Linked DNA regions of Anolis sagrei. The main gene of each other region encodes a partner of the protein of the gene in region 2 in a complex. Links are inferred from orthologs where the notes say so. Each region holds a gene or a part of one and is shown on either strand. Other genes may lie near its edges.

What was found.
Region 1: FBXL13 (region 2) and IQCG share a complex: the UniProt entries of both Homo sapiens proteins name them as parts of the nexin-dynein regulatory complex. The link is inferred for Anolis sagrei from reciprocal best matches to the Homo sapiens genes FBXL13 and DRC9.

The regions. Positions count from the first base shown.
Region 1 is NC_090023.1:267,624,541-267,635,647, reverse strand, and holds the start of IQCG (dynein regulatory complex protein 9), read right to left. Parts: upstream 4,704-11,107; 5' UTR 4,683-4,703; coding exon 4,648-4,682; intron 1-4,647. Other genes in the region: RPL35A (large ribosomal subunit protein eL33), read left to right, coding at 9,351-9,361, 10,495-10,647. UniProt on the Homo sapiens protein: Component of the nexin-dynein regulatory complex (N-DRC), a key regulator of ciliary/flagellar motility which maintains the alignment and integrity of the distal axoneme and regulates microtubule sliding in motile axonemes.
Region 2 is NC_090025.1:85,407,721-85,419,154, reverse strand, and holds the start of FBXL13 (F-box and leucine-rich repeat protein 13), read right to left. Parts: upstream 5,666-11,434; 5' UTR 5,606-5,665; coding exon 5,531-5,605; intron 1-5,530. Other genes in the region: ARMC10 (armadillo repeat-containing protein 10), read left to right, coding at 9,894-10,107. UniProt on the Homo sapiens protein: Substrate-recognition component of the SCF (SKP1-CUL1-F-box protein)-type E3 ubiquitin ligase complex.

The DNA.
Region 1 (11,107 bases), on a different chromosome or scaffold from region 2:
TAATTATAATAATAAAATGTTATTTATATATCACCCTATCTCCCCAAAGGGCATTCACACCTCAAGGGCCTCTGAGGGTGAATCTGCACTGCAGAATGGGTGCAGTTTGACACCACTTGAACTGCCATGGCTGAATGCTGGAAGTCCTGGGCACTGTAGTTTTGCAAGGTCTTTAATATTACCCGGTACCTCACCACACTATGGATGTTACAATGTGTGTTTCCTAAATGAGATTCTCTTTGTTTTGGCCCAGATCTACCTGAAGTTCTCTAAAATCCCGATTCTCCCCACCAAGACATATAATTTTTATTATTCCAAAAGAGAACTCATTCCTCTTCACATGGGGAAAGCCTAAAAGGCCATTCACTTGATCTAAACAAGCTTCCAAATAACATGGCATCCATGAAAGACAAAAATAAAAGAACAAATTGATTTGAGTAATCTGCAATGAATTCAGGATAACTTAAGTATCTCACTTCATGGCATGACTTTGGTTAGAACACGCATAGGCAAACTTCAGCCCTCCGGGTGTTTTGGAGTTCAACTCTCATAACTCCAGGAATTGTGGGAGTTGAAGTCCAAAACACCTGGAGGGCCGAAGTTTGCCCATGCCTGGGTTAGAAGATGCAAGAATAATATCCTGTCACCTGATGTTGATAATCTTTTTTGAAAAAAAGTCATACAAAAATATTGACTTACCTATGAAAAATTTCTTACTACATTCATATGCAAAAGAAGATTACATTTTTATATATTTTATATAGGTTGTCATGTTAAAAGATCACTGAGAGATATTTGGGATGAAAGTGGCCTCACTTCATGCTCTCCTCACTCCTTCCTCTCCATGACTGGGCTTTCTTTCTTTCTCTCCATTGCTGCCAGCCAACCAATGTGTACATTCTAGTTTTAATTTTAGAAATATGTATGTCACCATATAGATTTATGTACTGTCTCTGAGGCTCCCAGAACCAGAAGACATGCAAAATGTTCATTGTTAATAACTCATTCTCAAATAGCCTCACCAGGTATTGTCAAAGGCTTTCATGGCTGGAATAACTGGGTTGTTGTAGGTTTTTCCGGGCTATATGGCCATGGTCTAGAGGCATTTTCTCCTGACGTTTTGCCTGCATCTATGGCAAGCATCCTCAGAGGTAGTGAGGTCTGTTGGAAGTAGGAAAATGGGTTTATATATCTGTGGAATGACCAGGGGGGGACAAAGGACTTTTGTTGGCCACCCTGTCCCACCCTGGTCAGTCCACAGATATATAAACCCATTTTCCTACTTCCAACAGACCTCACTACCTCTGAGGATGCTTGTCATAGATGCAGGCGAAACGACAGGAGAAAATGCCTCTAGAACATGGCCATATAGCCCGGAAAAACCTACAACAACCCAGCCTCACCAGGGCTGTATATAGCCAGCCATTCTGTCCACAAGCATAGAATGGACTGTAAAGTGTTTATGGTTCCTTTGTTTATCATGGGCTTCCAATTTTAGGTTTAAACTAGTGTTTACTATGCAGCTGACCTTACTATACTATAGGAAATGAAGCTATGCTTTATTACCTATAGGCTTTAGTTGGTCTGTGTTCTTTGGTACATATATAATATTCTAGCGTATAATAATAGTAATTTTTTCTTATTTGCCTCTCCTCATGGCTCGAGGTGGGTTACAACATTGTGCGTATTCAGAAGAAGACCTACAAGCCACTCTATACACCTTCACAGAAGCATATGAGAAGCTCAGCCTGTCATTGAACATCAAGAAAACCAAAGTGCTCTTCCAGCAGTCAGCAGCCAACCCCTCTCCAATGCCAGAAATACAGCTTAATAGTGTAACATTAGAAAATGTTGACCATTTCCGCTACTTTGGCAGTCACCTCTCCACAAAAGTCAGCATTGACACTGAAATACAATACTGCCTGAGCTCTGCGAGTGCAGCTTTTTTCCAAATGAAGCAGAGAGTGTTTGAGGACCGGGACATCCATAGGGAGACCAAGGTGCTTGTTTATAAAGCTATTGTCCTCCCAACCCTGCTATATGCCTGCGAAACGTGGACTGTCTACAGACGTCACATGCAACTCCTGGAACGATTCCATCAGCGCTGCCTTCAGAAAATCCTGCAAATCTCTTGGGAAGACAAGCGGACAAACGTCAGTGTTCTGGAAGAAGCAAAGACCACCAGCATTGAAGCGATGTTCCTCTGCCATCAACTCCGCTGGACCGGTCACGTTGTAGGTTCTTACCTACAAAGCCCTAAACGGTTTGAGACCCGCCTACCTGCATGACCGCATTTCTGTGTACGAACCCACATTATCTCTTCGATCATCTAGAGAAGCCCTACTCGCGCTCCCACCTCCTTCGCAGGCACGATTGGCAGGGACGAGGGAGAAGGCCTTCTCTATGGTGGCCCCCCGACTCTAGAACTCTCTACCTAAAGATATCAGACAAGCCCCCACATTGGCAGTCTTTAGGAGGGGCCCCAAAATGTGGTTGTTCCAGTGTGCCTTCCCAGAATAAGGAAAACTCTCAGCAATATGCCCTCAAAATGCACTTTACCACTGATTTAGGACTGACTGCGTTCCCTCATCTCTCTTTGAAAACCCTATACCAGTTATATCCTACCTTATTCATGCTCAGCGTTATTTTTTTAAATTTTAAACTATTACATTTGGCCCGGCCATAGGTTTTTAAATTCTTGTGTGTTACTGTTTATTGTTTATGTGATTTATATTAATTGTATTGTATTGATTGTTTTTGTTATTGCTTTTGTTTATTGATGTACTGTTGGGCTTGGCCTCATGTAAGCTGCACCGAGTCCCTTGGGGAGATGGTAGCGGGGTATAAATAAAGTATTATTATTATTATTATTATTATTATGCCCGACCACTGTCTGCCAAAGCAGTTGCTCTACTCCGGACTCAAGAACGGAAAATTGAATGTTGGAAGACAGGAAAAGAGATTTAAAGATTGGCTCAAAGCCAACCTCAAAAACTCTGGCATAGACACTGAGAACTGGGAAGTCCTGGCCCTTGAGCGCTCCAGCTGAAGGTCAGCTGTGACCAGCAGTACTGCAGAATTTGGTTTTCTTTTTTTTATCATAGTTATTACATTTGTTATGCGTTTGGTTATAGCAGTTACATATTATTCAACACACTCTTTAACATATAATCTTATTATTCTACTTAAGCATTTTCCCCCTTTGTTTCCCACCACTGTGCTCCCCTCCCCCCATATCAAGCCACAACTTTTACATATCGTCTGTCCAAAATTTCAATTCTTCTTGTGACGGTAACTTTCCTTCTTTGTTTTTTAAACCATTTACTACAAATTTTCCCCATACAACATCAAAATCACTTTGTTTCCATATACCTTTTTGAACTTTTAATATACATGTCAATTTATCATTTATTGCTATTTTCCATGCTTCCTTATACCACTCCTCTATTTGTATATTCATTTCTTTTTTCCAATTCCTTGCTATGAGCAGTCTTGCTATAGTTAATAAGTTTGTTATCGTTTCTTTATCCTCCTTTTTCCATTGTGTATTGTTATATAATAAAGCTATACTAGGGCTTTTCTCAATTTTAATGTTCATTATATCTTCTATTTCTCTAAATACTTTCCCCCAAAAATTATTTACATATTTACATTGCCACCACATATGTATATATATTCCTGGTTCTTGACATCCTCTCCAACAATTTTTTGAATTATTTTTATTTATATATGCTAATCTTACTGGTGTCAGATACCACTTCCATATTAACTTATAATAATTTTCTTTAACACGTATTGATAATTTTTTTAATGTCTTTGTCTCCATAATTGTTGCCACTCTGTTTCGTTTATTTTTATTTATTTTAAAATAAACAAATAAATAAAGTATTATTATTATTATTATGCCCGACCACCGTCTCCAAAGCAGTTACTCTACTCCGAACTCAAGAACGGAAAATTGAATGTTGGAAGACATGAAAAGAGATTGAAAAATGGACAAAGCTTTCTACAGGAGCTCTTGGTATTATGTCCTGTGCGAAAACCTTCTCTGTGTGGACTGTACCCAAACTGGCTCCTATTCCCTCCAAAAACCCAAAGGGGGCGGGACCAGGGAACCTAACTATAATTGACTGGTGGCTTGCCCTATGATTGCAGCCAAAAGAAGCCACCTATCTGCAGAGTCCCTGAAACTTAGGACTACAAACATTCAATGCAAAGCAAACAAAATTGGAGCTCCTGGTACAGCTGTACCTGCACAGGCATAGACACTGAGAACTGGGAAGTCCTGGCCCTTGAGCGCTCCAGCTGGAGGTCAGCTGTGACCAGCAGTGCTGCAGAATTTGAAGAGGCACAAATGGAAGGTGAAAGAGAGAAGACAATCCTACTTGGACAATGAGGGATTGCCTAAGTAAGTAAAGATAGATAGATAGATAGATGGATAATTTGTTCTTCCCTTTTCCTGAGGCCTAACTTTAGTGAAGGCCTTGAGGCCTCCTCTCTTGGGATAGTTTCCATCTTAATATTCACTGCATTCCCTCTTTTTGTGTTTGGAATTTCTGCTGCTTTCTCCCAAATGTTTCCTGAATGCTTTTCCTGTGTGAAAAACCCTCTCAACTCAATAGAACCGTTCTGAAGGGACTCACTCACCAAGAGGTATCACTTGCACAGCTTGACGTCGCCATGGTTACCACTCACTTCCTGTGGGGCCCTCACATTAGCAAAAGGCTGTCTATATAAAAGCCTGACATTTTTTAAAAATCGTTAAATTACAGAGGATGAAATAAAAGCTCGATATTGGAAATCAAACACCCAAATCGAAGTTTTAAATTCCACTTTTTAAAATACCCCCCAAAATGTTGTGATATTTCAGTCAGGCGAATAGCGTAACCACCTATCTCTAAACAAGGAAGGGGTCCTGGCGATTTTGTCCCCCTATCCCGGCTTGCACCGCGGCGCCGCTCTCTCTTTCTGCCGCCATCTTGGGCCGGTGCTGCTGAGGTGAGGAAGGGGGGCGCGCGTTTCGTGGGGAGGAATCCGTGGAAACCGCGGGGAAAGCGGCTCCCGAGTGGGGTCGGCGGGTGAAGCGAGGTCTGAGGAGTGGAAGGAGCCGGGGATGGCGGCGGAAGGCGGTGGGATGCCGTGGATGGAGGCCGGATGCTGCGGCCTGGCCTAGTTTCGTTTCTACGCCTTAGCTGGCTGATTCCATGGGACGAAGGGAAGGAAGGAAGGCCTGTATTGTCGAAGGCTTTCATGGCTGGAATCACTAGGTTCTTGTGGTTTTTTTCGGGCTATGTGGCCATGTCCTAGAGGCATTCTCTCCTGACGTTTCGCCTGCATCTATGGCAAGCATCCTCAGAGATAGTGTGGTCTGTTGGAAGTAGGAAAAGGGGTTTATATATCTGTGGAATGACCAGGGTGGGACAAAAGACACATCAACACTGACAAAGAAACAACAAGAAATACTGTTTATCCACAAGCATAAAGAAATTACATATATTAGAAACCAACACTTTCTCATTACTTTATTTTCCAGATCAACAGACTGGGCCACAGCAATGCGTGGCAGGGAACAGCTAGTAATATATAATATTGTGCTTTACTTATATATATATATATATATATATATATATATATATATCACATATGTGTGTGTGTGTATATATATATATATATATATATATATATATATATATATACACACACACACACACACTAGTCGTCACCTGCCAAGCGTTGCAGTGGCCCACATGAGGGTTCTGTATGGGAGGTTTGGCCCAATTCTATCAGTGGCGTTCAGAATGCTCTGTGATTGTAGGTGAACTATAAATCCCAGCAACTACAACTCCCAGATGTCAAGATTCTATTTCCCCCAAACTCCACCAGTGTTCACATTTGGGCATATTGAGTGTTCGTGTAGAGTTTGGTCCAGATCCATCATTGTTTGAGTCCACAGTGATCTCTGGATGTAGGTGAACTACAACTCCAAAACCAAAGGACACTGCCCACCAAACCCTTCCAGTATTTTCTGTTGGTCATGGGAGAAATGTGTGCCAAGTTTGGTTCAATTCCATCGTTGGTGGGGTTATGAATGCTCTTTGTTTGTAGGTGAACTATACATCCCAGCAACTACAACTCCCAAATGACAAACTCATTTTTTTTTAGTGATGGTCACTCCTTGGGTTAGTAGGTGTCTTGTGGCCAAATTTGGTTGCAATTCCCCCAGTGGTTTTTGAGTTCTGTTAATCCCACAAACGAACATTGCATTTTTATTTATATAGATTGCAGTATAGTGCTATGCTACAATATAGAAATATATAATACTAATAGTGTGTTATGCTAATTTAGTATATTGTATATACATGTAATATTGATAATAATATTATAATGTAATGCAATATAGTGCTAATCATAATACAATATAATAATATTGAAATAGTGATGCTACTATAATAAATATAATTACTTATTTACAATATATATCCATCTATATAAATAAAAATGTAATGTTCATTTGTGGGATTAACATCACTCAAAAACCACTGGGTAAATTGACACCAAATTGGACACAATACACGTATCAGGCCAAGAAGTAACCATCACTCATGAAAATACTGAAAAACACAGCAAAAAAGACATAAAAAGCAAAAAAACCAAACCAAAACATTAGAACACATGCGCAAAACCACATATATACACAAAAATAAAAATATATACACACACAAAACACAAATACAGAGACTGGACCACAGCAACGCGCGGCAGGGGACGGCTAGTATATATATATATAAACCTGTGGGATAAATGTCCAAGGTGGAAGAAAGAACCCTTGTTTGCTTAACACAAATGTGAATGTTGCAATTAGCAAGCTTGAATAGCATTGAGTAGCCACTAAGCTGTAAAGTCAATGGTAAGGTATCTGCATAGAGCAGTGGTTCCCAACCTTTGGGCTCCAGGTGTTTTGGACCAGCTGTTAGGAACTGTGGGAGCTAAAGTTCAAAATTCCTGGAGGCCCAAAGGCTAGGAACCACTGGCATAGAGGGAGCCTGCTCTTTGTTGCCTGGAGACATCCTCTGGGGGGTGTTAATTGGCTCTTGATTGTTTGCTATCTGGAGTTCTGTTTCTGAGTGGTGTTCCTTATTTACTATCCTAATTCTGGTGTTTTTTTTTAATACTGTTAACCACCTCTAAGCAGATAACTTCACAGATTGATACTGCAGGTGAAAGGCTACTCAATTCTTACTAATTGCAACATTCACAGACAAGTGTTCTTCCTCCCGCCATGGACATTCTGCAGATAGATAGACTTGCTTCATTGCCAACAGAACCTCTGAAGATGCCAGCCACAGAAGCAGGAGAGAAATCAACTGGAACATGGCCACACAGTCCAAAAAACTCACAGCAATCCATTGATTCTGGGCATGAAAGCCTTCAACAACACAATAGTACACTTTATTTATACTCTCTGCCTTGGCTCGAGGCAGGATACAACATAGAATGGGCGTAGGCAAACTTCGGCCCTCCCTCCATATATTTTGTAAACCGCCCTGAGTCTTTCCGGGGAGAGAGGGCAGTCTAGAAATAAGGAATTATTATTATTATTATTATTATTGGTCCTCAACTCCCACAATTCCTAAAAGCCTAATGGAGGTGAAGTCGAAAACACCTGGAGGACTGAAGTTTGCCCATTCCTGAATAAAATCAAGACAAACTAACATATTTATTTATTTATCGTGTCAGAGGCAGACCAAACAGTTGCATTGCATTTTTTAACAAACAAACAAAACTCAAAGTTTGCAAGCTTGGTAGTTGATTAAATGTCCTTTGAACCAGTATCTGACCACTTGGAGTGCCTCTGGTGTTGCCACAAGAAGGTCCTCCATTGTGCATGTGGCAGGGCTCAGGTTGCATTGCAGCAGGTGGACAGTGGTTTGCTCTTCACCACACTCGCATGTTGTGGATTCCACTTTGTAGCTCCATTTCTTAAGGTTGACTTTGCATCTTGTGGAGCGCAGTCTGTTCAGTGCCTTCCAAGTCACCCAGTCTTCTGTGTGCCCAGGAGGGACTCTCTCATTTGGTATCAGCCATTGGTTGAGGTTCTGGGTTTGAGCCTGCCACTTTTGGACTCTCGCTTGCTGAGGTGTTCCAGCAAGTGTCTCTGTAGATCTTAGAAAACTATTTCTTGATTTAAGTCGATGAAAAACTAACATAAAATACACAGATAAAAACACTATAATTAAGAACATACATGGGGTATAGAAATCAACATATAGTGACAATGCAATGCAAATTAAAAACTTGTGATTCAGGTTTGATTGGGTAGGCCTGCCTGAAGAGAAGAATCTTTAATTTTGTTTTTAAATTCTGCCATAATAGAAATGGAACCGAAGTCTAAACAAGAAATTCACTGCTGGCTGCATCTTCACTGTAGAATTAATGTGATTTGATGCCACTTTCACTTCCCTGGCTCAATGCTATGGAATCCTCAGAGTTGTCGTTTTACAAGGTCTGCCAAGGAAGACTGCTTCCTAACAAAACTACAACTCCCAGGATTCCATAACATTGAGCCAGTTAAAGGGATTTCAAACTGCATTAATTCTATATTATAAATGCACCCTTAAATAGTCCCAATTAATCCTTTATCATCCCGCTTTGTTTGCTGTTGCTAAAACATTCTAGTTCTTCTCTCCTCCTTTGTCCTCAACTTACTTCAGTTGCAAATTGCCACTGAATGGCAAAAAGAGAAGATACAAAAACATGTCCTTCATCATTTATTTTTTTATTTATTTATTTGCAACATTTATATGCTGCCCTTCTCACCCCGAAGGGGACTCAGAGTAGCTTACAAGATACATATACATACAATATATCATATTGGGGATGAGAGACAGGGCCATCTCAGTGGTGGCCCCTCCATTCTAACATTCCGCAAAATGGTTAAGACCTGGATCTTCAAGCAAGCTTTTTCTACTAGAGCATAACTAGACGTAAATGAATATATGGAATGACTGACGATGCAACTGGACAATGATTTTAGTAAGGAGATGCTGGGGATCTTGTTTTTACAGATATATTTGCTTCTTATATTACATTTTAAATGTTGAATTGTTTTTATATTTGTATTAATTGTATTTTGATATTTGTTATGGCATTGAATCACTTTCGACTGAACCGCTTTGTGTCGCGTCTGGCTGAGAAAGGCGGTATACAAATGTGGTAAATAAGTAAATTGAGCCATGACAGTAGAAGGAGTCTAGTTCTTTAAACTGATTCTGAGCACTGCACATGCCAATTTAACCTTCCTTGTGATTCCTTCCTTCAGGCCTGCTGGGGACAGGACTTCAAGCAATACCATGACTGGCAGGTAGGGATGTGTTTTATTTGGAAATCTTTTAAAAATAAGATACCTTTACACATTTTTGTGTTATTGTAGAGACTTTCAATGTGTCACCCATTTAAAGTAGCGGAATGTCTTATAAACTGTAAAAGGAATATTGAATGTTGTTATTATTTTGCATTATGAAGTTTTCCCTCACAATCTGAATGGTGTAAGGCAGGGGTCCACAAACTTTTTAAACAGAGGGCCAGGTCACAGTCCCTTAAACTGTTGGCGGGCCAGATTATAATTTAAAAAAATACAAATGAATTCCTATGCACACTGCACATATCTTATTTATAGTGCAAAAACATTTTAAAACAATACAATAATTAAAATTAAGAACAATTTTAACAAATATAAACTTCTTAGTATTTCAATGGAAAGTGTGGGCCTGATTTTGGCTGATGAGATAGGATTGTTGTTGTTGTGTGCTTTCAAGTAGTTTCATACTAAGGTTAACCCTAAGTGAGGGGCAGGTAAATGACCTTGGAGGGCCGTATCCGGCCCCCGGGCCTTAGTTTGAGGACCCCTGGTGTAAGGTATCAAAACCATATGAAACTGTCTTCTCTTGTGTTGTAATGTAGCTTGCTGGTCTGGCTGGAATTTAATTCTGTCAAAAAGGAAAAATGAAAACAAACAAACACAGTTTTACTACAGACTTGATAATATTCTCAAGTGCTGCTGAAGCTTCAAATCAAGTTAATAACACATATTCCACATAAAGATATACATTTTAGTAACACACCAAGTGTAACATTTTACATCAAGTAAATTGTTAACTAAAATGTATATCTTTATGTGGAATATGTGTTATTAACTTGATTTGAAGCTTCAGCAGCACTTGAGAATATTATCAAGTCTGTAGTAAAACTGTGTTTTCATTTTTCCTTTTTGACAGTATTGATATTTAAACTGGAAAGTGTAGCAAAGGTATGGTAATACTTGTGTGAAATGTTGCTAAATTGAATACCTTCTTGTGAAGAACAATATAAGAGGACATTAATTACATATATTGAACTTAATATTTCATACTATATACCTACTTTCCTTTTCACTACAAATTATAGGCATCTGTGCGTTTAGCTGGGATTTAATTCTGTCTGTGCTTTCTTCCTTAGGTTGTGGTCCAAAGCCACTTTTGCTGGCTACAAGCGAGGCCTCCGAAACCAGAGGGAGCACACAGCTCTGCTGAAGATCGAGGGGGTTTATTCTCGCAATGAGACTGAATTCTACTTAGGCAAGAAGTGTGCCTATGTCTACAAAGCAAAAAAGTGAGCACTCTTCACACTTGCATCTGTGCATATTCTTTTAATCGTATTAGTGTTAGCCTTTGCACTGGCTTAGAGAGCATGCTTTACTTTGTCTTAAAATGTATGTGGTCAGGTCTGTGGGATTTCTGTGTGCTAGGTTTGGTTCAATTCCATCGTCAGTAGAGTTAAAAATGCTCTTTGATTGTAGGTGAACTATAAATCCCAGAAACTACAGCTCCCAAATCGCAATTCGCTCAGTGTTCTAACCTACATAAACATCAAAGGATTCACACTGGGGAGAAACCCTATCCATGCCTGGAGTGATGACAGAGCTTCACCCATTGTTCAAGTTTATGTTCACATTCAAAGGACTTACACTGGAGAGAAACCTTATAAATGCATGTTGTGTGGAAAAAGCTTCTCTGAGAGTTGAAACCTACATAGACATAGAATCTACATTGGAGAGAACAGTGGTGTACTG
Region 2 (11,434 bases):
ATTGTCTGGTTTGCCTACTGTGGAACATACAACATATAATTGTCCTTCTTTAGGAGTCCCTTTCACATCTATGATACTATATCTGTGTGTGTATCATATATATCTATCTATATCTATGGTTGGATAGCTCTCTGTTAGGAGGGCTTTGATTACGTTTTCTTGACCTGGTGAAGGAAGTTGGACTGGATGGCCTTAAGTATTTTCTGTTGGTCATGGGGGTTCTGTGTGGGAAGTTTGCCCCAGTTCTGTCATTTGTGGGGTTCATTCAGAATGGTCTTTGATTGTAGGTGAACTATAAATCCCAGTAACTACAACTCCCAAATGCCAAGGTCTATTTCCCCCCAAACTCCATCTGTGTTCATATTTGGGCATATGGAATATTTGTGCCAAGTTTGGTCCAGATCCATCATTGTTTGAGTCCAGAGTGCTCTCTGGATGTAGCAACTACAACTTCCAAACTCAAGGTCAATGCCCACCAAACACTTGTAGTATTTTCTGTTGGTCATGGGAGGCCTGTGTGCCAAGTTTGGTTCAATTCCATCATTGGTGGAGTTCAGAATGCTCTTTGATTATAGCTGAACTATAAATCCCAGCAACTACAACTCCCAAATGACAAAATCATAATTTTTTGAGTGATGGTCACTCCTTGTGTAGTGAGACGTTTTGCTGCCAAATTTGGTGTAATTTCGTTCATTGGTTCTTGTGTTTTTAAGGTACTCATTATGCACAGAGCATTTATATATATATAAATAATAATGATAATAATAATAATAATAATAATAATAATAACACTTTATTTGTACCTCGCTTCCATCTCCCTAAGGGACTCGGTGCGGCTTACATGAGGCCAAGCCCGCAATACATCAATAAACAGAACATCAATAAAATAAAACACCAATAAGCAATCAATGTAATATAAATCATAAACAAAATAGACAATAAGCAATCAACAGTAACATATAAACATTTTAAACCAAATGCCGGGCCAAATGTGGTTTTGGTGCACATTTCTGTCAGGTCTGGATGCACCCTGAGTGAGCAGGCATTTGAATTAGGTCTCCGGAGTTAAAAGTCCAAAACCACACAGCACTATGCCAGCTCCCTACAAAACAAATAGTCCCTGTTAAATGAATCAAAAAGACCAATTGTGAAAAAGTAAAATCTATTGATTTAACTGGAAAATAACATTGTTCTTGTCTAACCCTCCCCTGAAAGCAGAGGCACTTAAATGTGATTCACAACAGTTGGATTTAGCTTAAATATCAAGGATGTGAAATACAATAGGTGTCACAAATATGCAGCATTAGATAAAGTCCTTTAATTTTGTCTACTGCTCCCTCTGCTGGATTGGAATAGAACTTGCTTTTGAAAAATGTAAGTGCGCACAGGCAGTCCCCAAGTTACAAACATCTGATTTACAAATGACTCACAGTTAAGAACCGAGATGAGACAAAAGGAAGTGAGGGAAATCTACCCCTAGGAAAGGAAACTTACTCCTGAAAGAGTTATTTACATAGGAGAAAAGGGTCTCTACTGAAGTTTTATCACCAATCCTTGTTTCCACAATAAGCCAAATTTCTCAAAATCCAATTATCACAGGGACAGAAAGTGAGGTGGCTGGAGTTACACTTTAAAATGTACCTGTTCCAACTTACAAACAAATCCATCTTAAGAGCAAACCTGTCTTATTCGTAACTTGGGGACTACCTGTATTCTCTTACTGCATTAGGACAGCAAATAAATTTAATTTCATTACCATGACCATTTGGCTGATGTCTCTATATATAAGCAATATATGACTAAATCATAGAGGGCAAATGACGACAAGAACAGAATTCAAAACAATTTTGACAAATTAAGAGAGATGGGCCAAAACTAACAAAATGAAGTTCAACAGTGACAAATGCAAGATACTCCACTTAGGCAGAAAAAATGAAATGCAAAGATACAGAATGGGGGACGCGTGGGTCGAGGGCAGTGCTAGTGGAAAAGATCTTGGAGTCCTCATGGACAACAAGTTAAACATGAGCCAACAATGTGACACAGCAGCGAAAAAAGCCAATGGGATTTTGGCCTTCATCAATAGGAGTCTAGTGTCTAGATCCAGGGAAGTCATTGTACCCCTCTATTTTGCCTTGGTTAGACCACATCTGGAATGCTGTGTCCAATTCTGGGCATCATAATTGAAGAGAGATATTGACAAGCTGGAATGTGTCCAAAGGAGGGCGACTAAAATGATCAAGGGTCTGGAGAACAAGCCCTATGAGGAGCGGCTTAAAGAGCTGGGCATGTTTCCAAATGAAGCACAGAGTGTTTGAGGACCAGGACATCCGTAGGGATACCAAGGTGCTTGTTTATAAAGCTATTGTCCTCCTAACCCTGCTATATGCCTGCAAAATGTGTACTGTCTACAGATGTCACATGCGTGGAATGTCTACAGATGTCACATGCAACTCCTGGAACGATTCCATCAGTGCTGCCTTCGGAAAATCCTGCAAATCTCTTGGGAAGACAGGCGGACAAACGTCAGCGTGCTGGAAGAAGCAAAGACCACCAGCATTGAAGCGATGGTCCTCCACCATCAACTCCACTGGACCAGCCACGTTGTCCAGATGCCCAACTACCATCTCCCAAAGCAGTTGCTCTACTCCGAACTCAAGAAGGGGAAACGGAATGTTGGTGGACAGGAAAAGAGATTTAAAGATCGGCTCAAAGCCAACCTTAAAAACTCTAGCATAGACACTGAGAGCTGGGAAGCCATGGCCCTTGAGCGCTCCAGTTGGTGGTCAGTTGTGACCAGCAGTGCTGCAAAATTTGAAGAGGCATGAAAGGAGGGTGAAAGAGAGAAACGTGCCAAGAGGAAGGCGCATCAAGCCAACCCGACCGGGACCGCCTTCCACCTGGAAACCAATGCCCTCATTCAGGACTGTAGCCAGGATTTCGATTCGGGGGAGGCTGAGTTTGTTTCGGGGGGCGGGGCTAAGTCTGAGTGAAAGAGGGTCTACCCTAGCAAACCTTCTGTATCGTTACCCCAATACCCCCAAGCATATGGAATATATTGAGTATGGTGATCAGATCATGATATGAATAAACATAACAGTTTAAATAATGCACCAGTAAGGCCTTTTCGTGAACCACCATGAGAATTTCCGGGGGGGGGGGGGCTGAAGCCCCTCAAGCCCCCCCCCCCCTTGGCTACACATCTGCCCTCACTGTGGAAGAAGATGCAGATCAAGAATAGGGCTCCACAGCCACCTACAGACACAAGAATTCTGATCCTGGAAGACTATCCTTCTCGGCCAACGAGGGATCGCCTAAGTAAGTAAGTAAGTAAAGACTGTCAGAGTTAGGGCATGTCTGATGTCCTTGGGAAGTGAGTTCCAGAGTCGGGGGGCCACTACCGAGAAGGCCCTCTCCCTCGAACTACTCTTCATGATTTGCTAAAAAAGGTTTCAACCCTCCCCGAAATTTTTTTTCTGGCTACGGTCCTGGTAGAGGCTCCTTCTTTGGAAGCTTTTAAACAGAGGCTGGATGGCCATCTAAATGCAATTTTCCTGCTTCTTGGCAGGGGGTTGGACTGGATGGCCCATGCAGGGGAGGCTCAACCCATTACGCAAAGTAAGCATTTGCAGTATTTATTATTTCGATTACTTCTACCCCGCCCTTCTCACCCTGGAGGGGACTCAGGGCAACTTACAAACGCACAATTCGATGCCGGCATCACGTAACAGTAGTAAAACAATATAGCAGCAATTAACAGTTAAACAACAGTTCCTGCATTACAACAATAAAACCAATAAAACCAATACAAACCCATTACTCCTCATTAACGGTCAGCGTTCACCATCTCATAGTCTAATTTCCAATTCCACTTTGTCAGTCCTGTCAGTCCTAGTCGTCTGATTGTCCTTATCTAGTTGTCAGATTGCCCAAAGGCCTGGTCCCACAACCACGTCTTTACTTTCCTCCTGAAGGAGAGGAGGGATGTTGATGACCTAATTTCCCCCGGGAGTGAGTTCCACAGGTGAGGGGCCACCACTGAGAAAGCCCTGCTCCCCGTCCCCACCAACCTCACTTGTGATAGCGGTGGGGTCGAAAGCAGGGCCTCTCCAGATGATCTCAAACTCCGGGGTGGGACATAGAGGGAGATGCGTTCGGACAGATACACTGGACCAGAATAGGGCAGTGGTTCTCAACCTTCCTAACGCCGCAACCCCTTTATATAGTTCCTCATGTTGTGGTGACCCCCAACCCTAAAATTATTTTCGTTGCTACTTCATAACTGGAATTTTGCTACTGTTATGAATCGTCATGTAAATATCTGATAGGCAGGATGTATTTTCATTCTCTGGACCTTGGGAGTTATAGTTGCTGGGATTTACAGTTCACGTACAATCAAAGAACTTTCTGAGTTCCACCAGAGATGAAATTGACCCAAACTTGGCACACAGAACACCCATGACCAGCAAAAAATAATGAAAGCGTTAGGTGAGCATTGGCCTTGAGTTGTAGTTCACATATCTCCAGAAAGCACTGTGGACTCAAACAATGATAGATCTGGACTAAACTTGGCATGAATACTCAATATGCCCAAATGTGAACACTGCTGGGAGTTTGGGGGAAATAGACCTTGACATTTAGGAGTTGTAATTGCTGGAATTTATAGTTTACCTACAATCAGAGAGCATTCTGAACCCCACCGACGATAGAATTGGGCCAGACTTCCCACACAGAACTCCCATGAGCAGCAGTGCATCTTGGTGGTCTTTGGCGACCCCTCTAACACTCCATCGTGACCCCCACCCAGGGGTCCCGACCCCCAGGTTGAGAAACACTAGTATAGGGTTTTGTAGGTCAAAACCAGCACCTTGAATTGTGCTCGGAATTGAACCGGCAGCCAGTGGAGCTGACACAACAGGGGGGTGGTGTGCTCCCTGTATGACGCTCCGGTGAGTAATCTGGCTGCCGCTCGCTGGACCAGTTGAAGTTTCCAAACAGTCTTCAAGGGCAACCCCACGTAGAGTGCGTTGCAGTAGTATAGTTGATAGACCTTGACATATGCGAGTTGTAGTTACTGGGATATATAGTTCACCTACAATCAAAGAGCATTCTGAACTCCACCAATGATGGAATAGAACCAAATATGGCACACAGAACTCCCACAACAAACAGAAAATATATATCAGTGATTGGTTGTCGGGGGATACTGTTTGCTTACTATTAAAAATTACCTAGGGCCGCCTCTGGGCCCATGAGGTCTCTTCCAACTCTAGGATTCTATTATTCTAAATTCAATTTTAAAAGCTCTTCAAGATATTAGTTCAGTTCCAAAACAATGCCACACAAATACAGTACTGAAGGTGTGACTGGTAAGGAAACTCTCCTTGCGACTCTCTGGCCTAGCGGGATGGAGGTGGATCATAAGAATGCATGCCTACTAGGCCAGCACAGCAAAAAAAGGGAGGCCTTCCCTGACAACGTGTTAGACCTGGTTTCATCCCTCTCCAATTTCCCCAGGCGGCCCTTTTACCTCATAGATGTCAGGGATGGAGTGTTTCTTGAAGTAGGCCCTGAGTTCGGGGCCCACGCCTTGAAACGTAGCCATGGCCCCACGGAGAGGAGAGGAGGGGGTCCTCCTCCCGGCCTGGCCCCCTGAGGTGACCGTTTGGCGGTCGCCTAGCAACCGGGCTGCACGTGCCCTCGAGCCAAGCCCCGGGTGGTCAGCGCGCGCCGGCCCACTCGCCCTCGCCTGCCACTCAAACTGCCAGACACCAGAAGTATTCAAAAGGAGGAAAGGAGGAGGAAAGAATGTGGCAGCGCCATTCACACTAACCTTTTTATGTTGGGGACTAGCTGTCCCCTGCCACGCGTTGCTGTGGCCCAGTCTAGTGATGAGAAAGTAACGAGAAAGTGTTGGTTTCTAATATATGTAATGTCTTTTTTATATATATATACATTTTTATTAGTGATTGACAATAAAAAAGGGGGTTGAGAAGGGGGGAAGCTTGGGAGGGTTTATCTCTCTTCATATAAACATTTCCAGTAGATATTTCTTTCTTTTCTTCTTTTTCTTGGTAATGGGTCTATATGGATTAGGTTTCTTTATTATTATTGACTAGCTGTCCCCTGCTACGCGTTGCTGTGGCCCAGTCTGTTGATCTGGAAAATAAAGTAATGAGAAAGTATTGGTTTCTAATATATGTAATTCCTTTATGCTTGTGGGTATACAGTATTTCTGCTGTTTTTTGTCAGTGTTGATGTGGAGAGTGTCTGGTTTGCCCACCTTGGCTTTAAGGGTCCCTTTCAAATCTATGATACTATTTCTCTCTGTGTGTGAATCATATCTATATCTGTCTATCTATCTATCTATCTATCTATCTATATCTATGGCTGGATGACTCTTTGTCAGGAGGGCTTTGATTACATTTTCTTGCCCTAGTGAAGAGAGTTGGACTGGATGGCCTTAAGTATTTTCTGTTGCTCATGGGGGTTCTGTGTGGGAAGTTTAGCCCAATTCTATCGCTGGTGGGATTCAGAATGTGCTTTGATTGTAAGTGAACTATAAATCCCAGTAGCGACAATTTCCAAATATCAAAGTCTATTTCCCCCAAACCCCATCTGTGTTCATATTTGGGCATATGGAATATTCGTACCAAGTTTGGTCCAGATCCATCATTGTTTGAGTCCACAGTGCTCTCTGGATGTAGGTGAACTACAACTCCCAAACTCAAGGTCAATGCCCACTAAACCCTTCTAGTGTTTCTGTTGGTCATGGGAGTCCTGTGTGCCACGTTTGGTTCAATTCCATCATTGGTGGAGTTCAGAATACACTTGGATTGTATAAATCCCAGCAACTACAACTCCCAAATGACAAAATCCATTTTTTTTTTTAGTGAGGGTCACTCCTTGGGTGAGTAGATGTCTTGTGTCCAAATTTGGTGGCAATTCGTCCAGTGGTTTTTGAGTTGTTAATCCCACAAACGAACATTACATTTTTATTTATATAGATGAGTGTGCCTGGATAAAAAGGCCACTTCTACACTACCCTATATCCCAGGATCTGATTGCAGATTACTTGCTTAGCCCAGATTATATAACAGTGGAGACTCACATAATCCAGTTCAAAGCAGATAATCTGGGACCAAATCCTGGGATATGGGGCAGTGCAGATCTAATAATAATAATAATAATAAGAAGAAGAAGAAGAAGAAGAAAAAGAAGATGAAGAAGAATCTTTATTTATACCCTGCCACCATCTCCCCGATGGGGATTCGGAGCGGCTTACATGGGGCCAAGCCCGAACAACATAATACATCAAAATAAAACCAAAACATAAACAGCAAGCAACATCATCAAAATTACATGAAAAAAGTAACATTACAATAAACAAAAAACACAGTCGCAGTAAACAATGGGCGGGCCACATGTACAGGATAAAATGTTTAAACTCTAATGAGATAAAAATAGGAGCAAGTTATTTGCAGGGAGCTCATAAAAATACACAGGGTTGTGAAACGAAACTTCGCATTTGGGGGGCGTGTACTCCAGTGACAGAGCAATAGTGTCATGTTGTGCACCTACTCGCTAAAGCAGGGGTAGGGAACCTTCGGCCCTCCAGGTGTGGTGGACTTCAACTCCCACAATTCCTTGAGGCTCGTGTAAGCCTTTGGGGCGAATGCCGAGCCTCAAGGAATTGTGGGAGTTGAAGTCCACCACACCTGGAGGGCCGAAGGTTCCCTACCCCTGCGCTAAAGCCACAGTGGAAGAGCCAGGTTTTAAGGTTCTTTTTAAACTTTTCTAGTATAGGGGCTTTCCTGATCTCTCCAGGTAGTGAGTTCCAGAGTCGAGGAGCCAGAGAGGAGAAGGCTCTCTCCCTTGTGCCCACAAGACGAGCCTGTGAAATTGGCTGGGGCGAAAGGAGGGCCCGGGTTGGTACATGGAGAGAGATACAGTCACAAATGTAGGTGGGTCCCAAACCGTTTAGGGCTTTGTAGGTGATAACCTGCACCTTGAATTGGGCTCAGAAAATAAACGGCAGCCAATGGAGCTCCTTAAACAGGGGGGTTGACCACTCCTAGCCTTTAATTCCTTTTCCTTGGTTTCATTGGCCCTTTCTACACTGCCATTTAATCCACATTGTCCACTTTGAACTGGATTGTATGAGTCTACACTACCACATAATCCAGTTCAAAGAAGATAATCTGGATTTTATAAGTCCTAATAGCACTTTAGCACAGTTAATATTGCTGCACATCGTACTTTAATCCCGACGCCCCTCCTACCATTTCAGCACTTTTAACCTTGTACCTCTCACCGGCCGAACCAGTTTTTAATATGTCCTGATGTATAGTTACCGTTGTATTGCTAATTTTGATTTGTTTTGTTTTGCTTTTTAATTTGCTTGTCTATTGTTTGTTATGTTTTCTATTGTATTGTGTTTATGGCTTCGGCCTGTGTAAGCCGCATCGAGTCCTTCGGGAGATGCTCGCGGGGTACAAATAAAGTTAATAATAATAATAATAATAATAATTGTCTCATTCCAAGATCTGGTGATGGGTGTCTATGGCTTCTTCCACACAGCTGTATAAAATCCACATTGAACTGGATTATATGGCAGTGTGGACTCAGATAATCCAGTTCCAATGTTGTGGATGATCTGCCTTAATATTTTGGGTTATATGGCTGTGTGGAGTCCCCAGTGGTGCAGTAGGTTAAACCGCTGAGCTGCTGAATTTGTTGACCGAAAGGTCACAGGTTTGAATCCGGGGAGTGGTGGGAGCTCCCACTGTCAGCCCCAGCTTCTGCCAACCTAGCAGTTGGAAAACATGCAGGCAAAAGTATGATAGCTGGGACTCAATGCTGGTTGTGCAACGCGGGTCAGTCGTACAACCAGCATTGGGTCCCAGCTATCATACTTTTAGAGAAGTGAAGACGTTATGTATTTCAACGTGTTTGCATATGATATCCGGATAACCTTAAGCACTATCTTGGCTGTTTGTGCCCCCCCCCCTTTTCTGGTGACCTATCTTGCCACGACTCTGTCGCACCTGCATCTCTCACTCACTGCGCTGTCTCGGCATTGGGTCCCAGCTATCAAATGTGAGTAGATCAATAGGTACCGCTCCGGTGGGAAGGCAATGGTGCTCTATGCAGTTATGCTGACCACATGACCTTGGAGGTATCTACGGATTGTGATTGTGTTTATTGGAATGTTATTTTATGACTATGTTATACTTTTTTTTCTATGTAATTTTGATGATGTTGATTGTTGTTTCTGCTTTGCTTCTATTTTGCTGTAATATGTTGTCCGGGCTTGGCCCCATGTAAGCCGCTCCGAGTCCCCACTGGGGAGATGGTGGCGGGGTATAAATAAAGTTTATTATTATTATTACGGACAACGCTGGTTCTTCGGCTTATATATGGAGATGAGCACCAACCCTCAGAGTTGGACACAACTGGACTTAATGTCAGGGGGAAACCTTAACCTTAAAATGGCTGTGTGGAAGGGCCCTATTTGTGTGCCTTGCCCTTTAAAAACAGAAAACCCATCAACCTAATATGCCTTGGTTTGGTTTGTGGCGAATCTGCTCTTGCGAATCCACTGCTCTGGGAGATTTTCCCAGGTTTACGTTTATTTGTTTTTCGTTTATTTGTTTTTCCCGCTATATTGTTTTGTCCCTCCGATTTGTGAACTGCGGCTGTGGCACCCTTCCACGATTCAAAAGGGGGTGGGGTGAAATAATAAGAAATTATAATTTTTAAAAAGCTTGGAAACTGTAGAAAGGCGAATCTGCTGTTGTCCTTCCAGGGCTGAGCAGCGCGCGCTTCTTCCTGCGCGGGGCGCCCCCTGACGGCGATGCTGGGCTGCCTTCCTTCCTTCTTTTCCGGCGGCCATGCGGGACTCAGCCCTGAAGGCGGGCCTGGTGGGGCTGGCGGTGGGCGCCGGCGTGTGTTGGGCCCTCTATGGCCTGGCCTCCAGGAGAAGGAGGCGCCGCAAGGGAGCGGACCCAGGGGAAAGGGAGCCAAGCGCCCTCTTGCGAGCAGCCTCTGGCCTCCCCTTGGTTTCCAGCTCGAGTGGCAAGAGAGAGGCCGCCACTCCTCAGCAAGGTGAGCCTTGGACCAGCTTGGGTAGAAGTCACCCTGTTTGACCCCACTTGACCTGCCAGGGCTCCGTGCCATGTGATCCTGAGAAGCTCTTTGGCCTTCTAATCTCTGCCTTCTCTTGCCAGAACACTGGGGTGTTTCCAAACTACAAATCCCATGATTCCATCCCATTGAGCCCTGGCAGTTCAAGTGGGGTCAAGCTGTTACAGTGTAGATCAGGCCTGCACAACTTGCGTATGTTTTGGACTTCATTTCCCAGAATTCCTGGCCATTGGAACATCTGGCTAGAGCTTCTGGGAGTTGGAGTCCCAAACAGGTGGAAGACTGTTGTAGCTGAACCCAATACACTGGAGAAGGCAGTTTTCATTGAACATTAGGAATAACTTCCTTACTGTGAGAGCCGTTCAGCAGTGGAACTCTCTGCCCTGGAGTGTGATGGAGGCTCCTTCTTTGGAGGCTTTTAAACAGAGGTTGGATGGCCATCTGTCAGGGGTGCTTTGAATGCAATTTTCTTGCTTCTTGGCAGGGGGTTGGACTGGATGGCCCATGAGGTCTCTTCCAACTCTATGATTCTATGCAAGCAAGCATGCAAGCAAAGTTTATTGATTAGTCCGTTGACTGTATCAACATTAAAAACAAAAACAGAAACATGCACAAATAGACAATAATCACTATCCCAAGACTCCCATAATAGTGAACTAACATACATTCAAACTTGATTAGGTTAAAAGATAATTAAAAATATTATCATTAAAATGCCAAGGTAAAATTTCAAACCACAAAAATTAAAAATGAAGGTTAAAACAAAGGTTAAAATAGGCCAGCTATTACACAATCCGAAGCCACTTCAGATATCTGCGTCACCCCTACAGTTTACCCCAGTCGCCTCCAGATACGCAGTTCTCAGCTGCGTTGCTTTATAAAGGAAAAGGGCTGTTTGGTGTGTTATCTTAGCATTTTGGCCAGCCATTAAGAATGTAGTTTTGATATGGGGATCCCAGTGAGTCTTCTGTATGATGAATGGTCCGAGGTATTGATTTCTCTCTTTGTTGTACAAAATACAATTAAACAGTACATGTGTAATATCCTCTACCTCTGTTGCTCCACAGATACAGAAACATTCATTATATGGAACTTGGTTAAACCTTCCATGTTTAACCATTGTATCTGTCTGTTCGAATCGGGTTCTAGTGAATACCCTCCTTAGATGTTTAGGCATTTCTGTCTTTAGGTATTCGGCTGTTTGAAAAGTATGTTTGAAGAGACTTAACCATTTCAGTGAGCCGGCTTTACTAAGGGTGGCAATGTCTTTCTGAGCCTCTATATCCTG